2 linked regions of the Coturnix japonica genome follow. The protein of the gene in region 2 binds, or shares a complex with, the protein of the main gene of each other region. Links are inferred from orthologs where the notes say so. Each region holds a gene or a part of one and is shown on either strand. Other genes may lie near its edges.

Region 1 (3,466 bases), on a different chromosome or scaffold from region 2:
AGCCGTGCTCTGGATGCCCAGGAAGGTGCCACGGGGAAAGGGTTGGCTCCTTTTCCACAAGCCTTTGGCTATCACACGGCCCACAGAGGTCAAAAGCAGCCATACCTGTGCAGCACGAGGCACATGCCCTGCTCCTATCAGACTGTGAATGCTTTACAATTAAAGACCTATTTTTCTAAAGGATTGTTTGTGTCTTCCTGTTCCCCCTGCTGTAGCACTGGCCTAAGGAGCATACACCAGTCTCTGGGGGAGGCAATAGCTGGGGAACAAACGCTCCTGATTTTCCCAGTGTCCAGCTCCCTCCTGTGGTGGCTGCCATCTCTGCAGGGCAGGTGGGCTCAGCTGGGGATGTGAGATAATAATGCCCCTTGCCTTCCAGTATCCACCTGCCAATTTCACTGTGCTGAGCTCTGGGGTCACACAGCATCACTCAGACTAGGCCAAGCCCCTCCAGGAGCTGCAGCTTGAAAGCCAGTGCCCCTGATGTGGTACCTTTGCTGTCTGCTACCACAACATCCTCCATGAGCATCCCATCTTCATCTACCAACCGGCATTCTGGGAAGCCAACCTTGCCACAACAACCACATCTAGAAAACACATAGCAGTTTAATTAAGAAGCCACATCTGTCTCAGAACAGCTCCTTAGAAAATGATGCCCAGCCCTAGCACAGACAGGTGAGTGCCCCAGTCCAGCGGCCCCTGGTTAGAGCTGGGGCTAAGCCTGCTTTTGAAGTGCAGGAAGGTGAGATCAGCAGGCAGGGCCACAGAGCACCCACGGTCTCCACTGAGAATGAGGCATCAGCCCCTGCACAGAAGGGAAACAGTCAGAAAAGACTGGGATGACAAAGGGGGAAAGTCCCCTCCTCCACCACCACTGGAGGGACTGGGCAGCAAAGGTGCTGGGGCAGGATTTGGGGTGATGGTGTCCTTTCTGCTCTCCAACAGAATGTCTCTGGGGGCAGGCAGCCCTCTGAGGTGCATCATCTCCTAGAAGGCCAACTTCTTCATCAGCAGGTAAACTCTGGAGTCCACTTCAAACCCATGCAGATTGTTTGCGTCTCCCTGAAGGCGCATGAGCAGCCCCCCATAGGACACATAAGCAGAGCTGGGGCAGGAGGAGAGGAGCAGTGAGAGCAGGGAAACCCATAGGAGACCCAGTCAAGATAACGCTGCCTCCCCACCACCCTCAGGCAACGCGTCCCCTTCTCAACAGCCACTCACAGGCGTGTGGCTGCCTCTGTGGACGTCTCATCCCCCTCAATCCTGTACACCTTGCCATACATCACGTACTCAAACTGGTCCGCCCTGCAATGACATGAGGGGAGCTGAGAGAAGCGTCAGACCATCCTTCCCACATCCCCTAACAGAGCATCCTCTGCGAGGAGGCCCCTTGTAGGAGGGGTCTCTCCCACCACTGCGAGCCACGTTACCTGGAGGGCCGGTCATCAGTGGGGTTGTACTCCCCATCATCCAACGTCCCATCCTCATACAGGGTGCTGGCAATGACCAGACGGAACTTGTCCCCTGGGAGGCGATAACAAAGCAGCGCTCAGAGCGCACAGCCGGAGCTGCCCCCCCCCCCCTCCCCGCCCGTCCCGTACCGAGATCCACGGGGTAGATCTGGATGTTGACGTCCAGGATCAGATCCATCTTGAACGACTCGCTCTCGCAGTGCAGCCGGGACACTGAGCGGGCCGGGACGGGGCGTCAACGGGAAGGGCCCGCCGCACCCGGCCCGGCCCTCGGAGCCCCGGGTGGGAGGAAGGGGCGGGGAGCGGGGGGGTCGTATCTCACCACGGTCGAACTTCTTCCCCTCGGGGTCGATGTCCTTCACATCGAAGATGTCCTCGAACAGAATGCCGGCCATGGCGGCGCCCCTTCGCTCCCGCGCCGGCTCCCGCTGCGGCGCACGGTGATGACGTGTTTCCACATCCGGAAACCTCATTCGTGGTGGGCGGGCAGAGGTGCCCGCGCGGTCCTAGCGCCGCCGGCAGCGCCCCCTGCAGGCTGGGGGGGCGCACTGCAGCGCAGGGGGCGGTAGGGGGCGCTGCGCGGCCGCGGATCGAACCGCGTGGGTCGGGGCAGATCCACGGCGGGACGGAGCTCGGAGCTGGGCGGGGGGCAGCAGCGTCACCCCACAGCCCACCCGTGTCACACCCCACAGCGTCACCTTCCCTCCGTGTCACATCCCCGGTGACACCCAGCTCCTACCGCCAGCCCCCTCCCCAAAGGGCTCAATGCGGCCGGGCTGTGTGAGCGGAGGGATGCGCTGGTACAGAGGGACACGGAGGGACACGGAGGGACACGGAGGGACCCGGGTTGGCGGCCCCGCACCTCCGGGGTCGAGGAGCCGAGGTTGGGGTGGGCAGCCCCCACACTATAGCACCTGCCCGGTGCCGCCGTCTCCTCCTTATCTGGAGCCAAACAAGCCCATCCGGCACCTGGTGCCGCTCAGAGCACACAGCACCAGCCCTCAGCCCGCCCCCAACCTGCACGGATCCCACAGACCGTCCCCAGGTGCTCTGCAGCCCCCGGTGCGCCGGGATATATGAAGGGATTTTGGGGGGGGGGGGGGCACAGCTCTGCCTTGGTGCACCCCAAAGCATCCCAGCATACAGTAGGACACACCGGGGGTCCCTCCATGTGGGCTCTCCCCAGGCTGGGAGTCCCATTGCTCACAGTGCCGGGCTGTGTGTGGGTGGGGAGGTTTAGCCGTGGGGCTGTTATCTTTCACTGATAAATTATACAACATGAGCACGGCTTTGAACGGCGGCCAGGCCTCCATCCGGTGGGGCAGCATTGGGGGGCCAACACAGCCTCCAGTGCTCTCTGATGGGGGGGATGGTGATGGAGATGGGGCCGTGGCTTTGGAGTGAAGGGCTGATGGGGATGGGGTCTGCACACAGAGGCAGAGCAGGTGGCAGAGCCACGGCGGCACCTGGGTGGTTGGGCAGCCCCAAATCCTGCACCCTAAATCCCTGCCCTCTCCCCAAAGCCTGCCCGGCTCGGGGGTGGGAGCGGTGCTTCAGAGGCGGCCGCGGCCCCTCTTATCTGCGGGCACAAAGGAGCCGCGGCACCGCCGTTATGGAGCAAACAGACCTGGGGAGAAGCTGGCTGGCATCGGGCAATGGGGTGGCACCATCCCCATGTTGCGGTGCTATGGGGTGGCACCATCCCCATGTTGCGGTGCTATGGGGTGCAGCGCTGACATCCCCCCACTGAGCGGCCCCCCTAAGGCTGGGGTTGGGCAGGAAGAGAGCGAGCCAAAATTAAGCTGTTAATGAGTCTGTCTGTCACCAGGCTGCCAATTACCCATGTGGGTAAGGAGGAGATGATGGAGGTGGCACGGAGCAACATCACAGCCCACCCGATCATCCCCTCATTAGCACCGCATCACCCTGAGTGAGGGACAAGGCCCTGGGCAGGGATTAGCCCCTTCCTCTCCCTGCTGAGGACATGATGGGCG
Region 2 (4,239 bases):
GTGGGAGCTGTATGGGGAGGTGAGGTAGGCAGCTGGCAATGCTGTGTAGCCGCTGTGGTGGCCCTGCGAGCTGGCAGGCCATCTGGCTGCCCCCTGCAGTAAGACATGTCAACAATGAGCTGGTGAGGCAGCATGATCAGGATGTGGACATGAGGGGAATCTGCGTTCCCCTACCTGGTTTCTCACCTGTGTACTGCAGCAACAGCAGCTCCTGAGTATGAGAGGTGCCCAGCAGCACTTTATGACTCCTTCCAGACTCTCCCGGCACAACATCAGCGAACAGAGGGGGGAATTTCATCATGTGTGCCCATTTCAGCACAGGCACCAGCGGCAAACGCTCGTCCAGCAAGTACACGGCAAACTGAAAGGGGGCAAAACTCAGCAGGGTGCCCCCCACCTGCATCCAAACCAGATGCACGAGGTGGGTGGGGAGGTCTGGGGACACTGAGCCATGGAGGACTCACCTGGGTGGCAACGAGGTACTGGCAGGGGTGAGCCCTACCCAGGTACATGGGCAGTACCACGCGTTCACCCTTCTGGCACTTGGCTTCCTCACCCACCTTGAAGAAGTTGAAGTGGCATCTAGTGGGGGCCTGCAGTGGCATAACAGGGTGCTGTCAGCACCATGGGGCTGACATAGGTCACCCCACAGCCCACCCTGAACCCCGTTCTCATGCTCACCCGAGTATCCAGGCACAGGATGCCAGTGCGGTCAGCACAGCTCAGCACCCGCGGGTGAGCAGTGAAGTCACTCCAGCGCCAGGGTGAGTGGTCCCGGAAAAACAAGGTCTGGGGGTCATGGCGGAGCCGCTGCAGCCTGTAGGGAAAAGGACAGAGCTCTTCCTTGCTGTGGGGCACCCCTGCCTCCTGCAGCACCAAACACTGGGGATCAGAGCCCCAACTCACCCTGTCTCTATGTTCCATAGATAGACAGCTCCACTCTGCGTACAGACTGACAGCTCCCCAGGCAGGTGTGGGCTGTGGGGCAGAGACATGGCGTTACATTGGAAGGCTTGTAGCTGAGGACCTTCCCAGAGCTCTGTATTCCCACCACACACCTGACGGTGAGGCAGGAAGCTGGCACATCAGTGTGGATGACCTGCAGTGAGCTGGGGGCAGCCCCTGTCTTGCCTGACATCCTCCAGACACCACAGTAATAGTCAGAGCGAACGCCAACAAAGTCTAGTAGGAGACAGGAGAGAGGGCAGATGAGAGAGCAGGGATGCCACTATCTCTGTATGCAGTGCACATGTCCCAGGGCTTACTCACCCTGCCCATCCACCCGGGCAGCAGCTACTTGCCGGATGCGCCCGTTGAGCTCAAACTGCACTGGCAACCCCTGGGCCCGCGGCTGCTCCTCCAGCACCACATTCTGGAAATCTGGAGTGCAGGCTAAGGGCACTGCCACACAGTGCTCCCCTGTCCCAGAGTCCCCCAAGTATCATAGGAAAGGATACAGAGGTGGTTCATGGCCAACCCGCCAGGGTACACCAGGCATCCCATGTCACTGCTTGCATCCTGAGGGGGCAGCCAGGCTAGTGCTCCCCCTGTGGAACTGTCATCGAAGAGCAGTCTGGTCCACTGTAGCAGCAGCTCTTCATGCACGCAGTCGGCCAGCAGTCCCAGTGGCACCTCAAAGAGCCAGTCCCGGCACAGGTGAGAGAACAAGCGCAGGTGGTTGGCATACGGATGCCGAGGGCAGCCACTGTGAGGGGACAATCAGTGCCAGGTAGGTGTCGGAGCCCACCGCCCTCCCAACCCAGCAGCACTCACCGCCTGGCTTCCATATTGTTGATCTTCTTCACCATGGATGTCATACGGATGGTTGTGTCCTTGGCACTGCCTTTCTGCAGGGAGGAGAGAAGTGCCACTATGAACAGAAAGGAGGGGGTACACCAGTGCCCCCCTCAGCATCACCAAGGACACTGACCCCGAGGCTGTAGTCTCCCAGGTGGAAGTTGTTGTGCAGCAGCTGCCCCAGGGAGCTGAAGGCGTCCTCAGGATGATCCACAAAGAAGTGCCCTAGCTGCGTGGGGACAGCAGTGTGGGGCTGTGCAGTGATGTCATGGTGGAGCTCAGCCCTGTCTCCTCAGCAGCACCCAAGCCCTGTACCTGCTTGGCAAAGTCCAGCGCAGCCCCAGACTTCCCAGTCTGCAGCTTTCTATGCAGGACACCGTGGTAGAGAATATCCTGAGCGGTCACACTGGGGACCGAGCAGCCTGTGAGGGGGCAGGGGGCGGCGGGGGGGGGGGGGGGGGGGGGGGGGGGGGGGGGGGGGGGGGGGGGGGGGGGGGGGGGGGGGGGGGGGCTGCCGAGTGCGTCCCAGCACCAGGTGGCAGCCCCATTCTCAGCCCCCCCTGTGCCCCCTCAATCCTCACCCACGTTGGGCGGCAGCAGCGGCACCGCCGCGGGCTCAGCCGGCGTCCAGCTCTCCCCCTCGTGGCTGCGGAGGGGCACGAACGGCGGCAGCACCTGCAGGGACAGCGGGGAATGGAGGTGAGGGTCAGTGCCCCCTCAGTACCCTCAGAGCCCCCTCAGTACCCTCAGAGCCCCCTCAGTGCCCACAGAGCCCCCTCAGTGCCCACAGAGCCCCCTCAGTGCCCACAGAGCCCCCTCAGTGCCCTCAGAGCCACCTCAGTACCCTCAGAGCCCCCTCAGTGCCCTCAGAGCCCCCTCAGTGCCCACAGAGCCCCCTCAGTGCCCACAGAGCCTCCTCAGAGCCCCCTCAGTGCCCTCAGAGCCCCCTCAGTGCCCTCAGAGCCCCCTCAGTGCCCTCAATACCCTCACTGCCCCCTCACTCATTGCCCCCCAGGCCTCCCCCATCCCGTTCCCCCGTTACTCCTCACCTGCCGCCGTCCAGGCCCGGCCTGCAGCACCTCTTCCCGCTCCCCCCATCCAGCGGCCGGAGCCGGACGCCCCTCGTCCCTGGTGGGGCCGGATCCGAAGTAAGAAGGGAAGAGCACGCCCGGGAACTCCATGGGCGGTACCGGGGGCGGTAATGGTGAGCCCGGTACCGGATCCGGACCGGAAGTGCTGCGCACGCGGTCCCGACGCGGTAGGAAGTTGGATGACCGGGAAGGGCGAGGCCTAGAGTGCGACAGCGCCCCCTAGCGTGTGGGAGGTATCATGGCGAGCAGAAAGCGGGGCCGCGCCGGTTGTGAGTGACAAGCAGAACCGCCAATAGGAAAATTGGGGAGGGAGAAAGGGGGCGGGACGGATGACGTCATGGTCGCCCCTGCGCGGCGGGGCTGCTGGAGCCGCGCGCCCCTCGGCAGCCGGCGCGGTGGGATGGGGCGGCGGGGCGGCGGGCGGGGGCGGCCGCTCACACCGATACCCCTCCTCCGCCTGCCCCTGCTGCTCCTGCCCCTCCTCCTCCTCCTCCTCCTATGGCCGCCGCCGCCCGCCGGTGAGTGTCGAGGGGCCGAGGGGGTCGGGGAGCTGAGCGCTGCGTGGGGGATGGGGGTGAGGAAGGGGGGAGGTGTGTGCTTGTATTAATGGGGTGAGGATGGAGCGCAGACCGTCCGCAGCATCTGCCCGCCGTGGGATGACAGTGTGTGTGATGGGGTGCGGGATGTGTGTGCAGCGAGATGTGGGGTCAGTGTGCAGCAGGGCACGTTGATGTGTGGGGTACCCCACATTACACCATGCAACTGAGTATAGGGTGCGTGGGCAGTGGGGCAGGACGTGTGAGCACAATGGGGCATATTCATGTGTGATGGGAGATGGCAGTGGGGTGTTGGCATAATGGGACATGGAGATGTGTGTTCGGTGGTTATGCTTGACAATAAGCAGGCTGTGGGGCACGCGTGCAATGTGGTACATAGGGAGGGCTCAGAGGTGTGCGTGCTGGAGGGACACAGGTGGTGTAAGTGCACAGGGACACCCAGAGAGAGGGGTCAGACTCATGGTCAGGGGTTACGGGGATCTGCAATTGCAGCGTGTCACCTGGACAGAGGGCTGTGAAGTGGGGCAGCAGGGATGCATGCAGTGCGGGGGATGTGTGTGCAGTGAGGATGAGTGGGGGGACACTGGAGTGAATACGTGATGAAATGAGTGTGCTGTCGGGCTCTGGAGCTGCCTTCATTTGGGGGCTGCGGAGGGGTATGCGGTGTTGTGTATGGGGGATCACGGAGGAAGGGGGCCGAGCTGTGGAGTAGAAGCGCTATGGGGCCCTATGGGGCGGCTGGGGGAGCTGTCCGTGGTCCTGAGCCCGACATCAGGTGAGCTGTCCGTGGTACT

What was found.
Region 1: TAF1C (region 2) and POLR2H share a complex: the UniProt entries of both Homo sapiens proteins name them as parts of the pol I pre-initiation complex. The link is inferred for Coturnix japonica from reciprocal best matches to the Homo sapiens genes TAF1C and POLR2H.

What each region holds. Positions count from the first base shown.
Region 1 is NC_029524.1:13,963,173-13,966,638, forward strand, and holds POLR2H (DNA-directed RNA polymerases I, II, and III subunit RPABC3), read right to left. Parts: upstream 1,932-3,466; 5' UTR 1,868-1,931; coding exon 1,795-1,867; intron 1,686-1,794; coding exon 1,602-1,685; intron 1,525-1,601; coding exon 1,431-1,524; intron 1,306-1,430; coding exon 1,222-1,305; intron 1,106-1,221; coding exon 988-1,105; 3' UTR 587-987; downstream 1-586. UniProt on the Homo sapiens protein: DNA-dependent RNA polymerase catalyzes the transcription of DNA into RNA using the four ribonucleoside triphosphates as substrates.
Region 2 is NC_029547.1:8,327,401-8,331,639, reverse strand, and holds the start of TAF1C (TATA box-binding protein-associated factor RNA polymerase I subunit C), read right to left. Parts: upstream 3,071-4,239; 5' UTR 2,979-3,070; coding exon 2,847-2,978; intron 2,473-2,846; coding exon 2,379-2,472; intron 2,220-2,378; coding exon 2,113-2,219; intron 2,027-2,112; coding exon 1,931-2,026; intron 1,848-1,930; coding exon 1,774-1,847; intron 1,706-1,773; coding exon 1,458-1,705; intron 1,381-1,457; coding exon 1,270-1,380; intron 1,183-1,269; coding exon 1,059-1,182; intron 979-1,058; coding exon 907-978; intron 818-906; coding exon 682-817; intron 594-681; coding exon 465-593; intron 362-464; coding exon 187-361; intron 94-186; coding exon 1-93. Other genes in the region: TMEM8B (transmembrane protein 8B), read left to right, coding at 3,226-3,406. UniProt on the Homo sapiens protein: Component of the transcription factor SL1/TIF-IB complex, which is involved in the assembly of the PIC (pre-initiation complex) during RNA polymerase I-dependent transcription.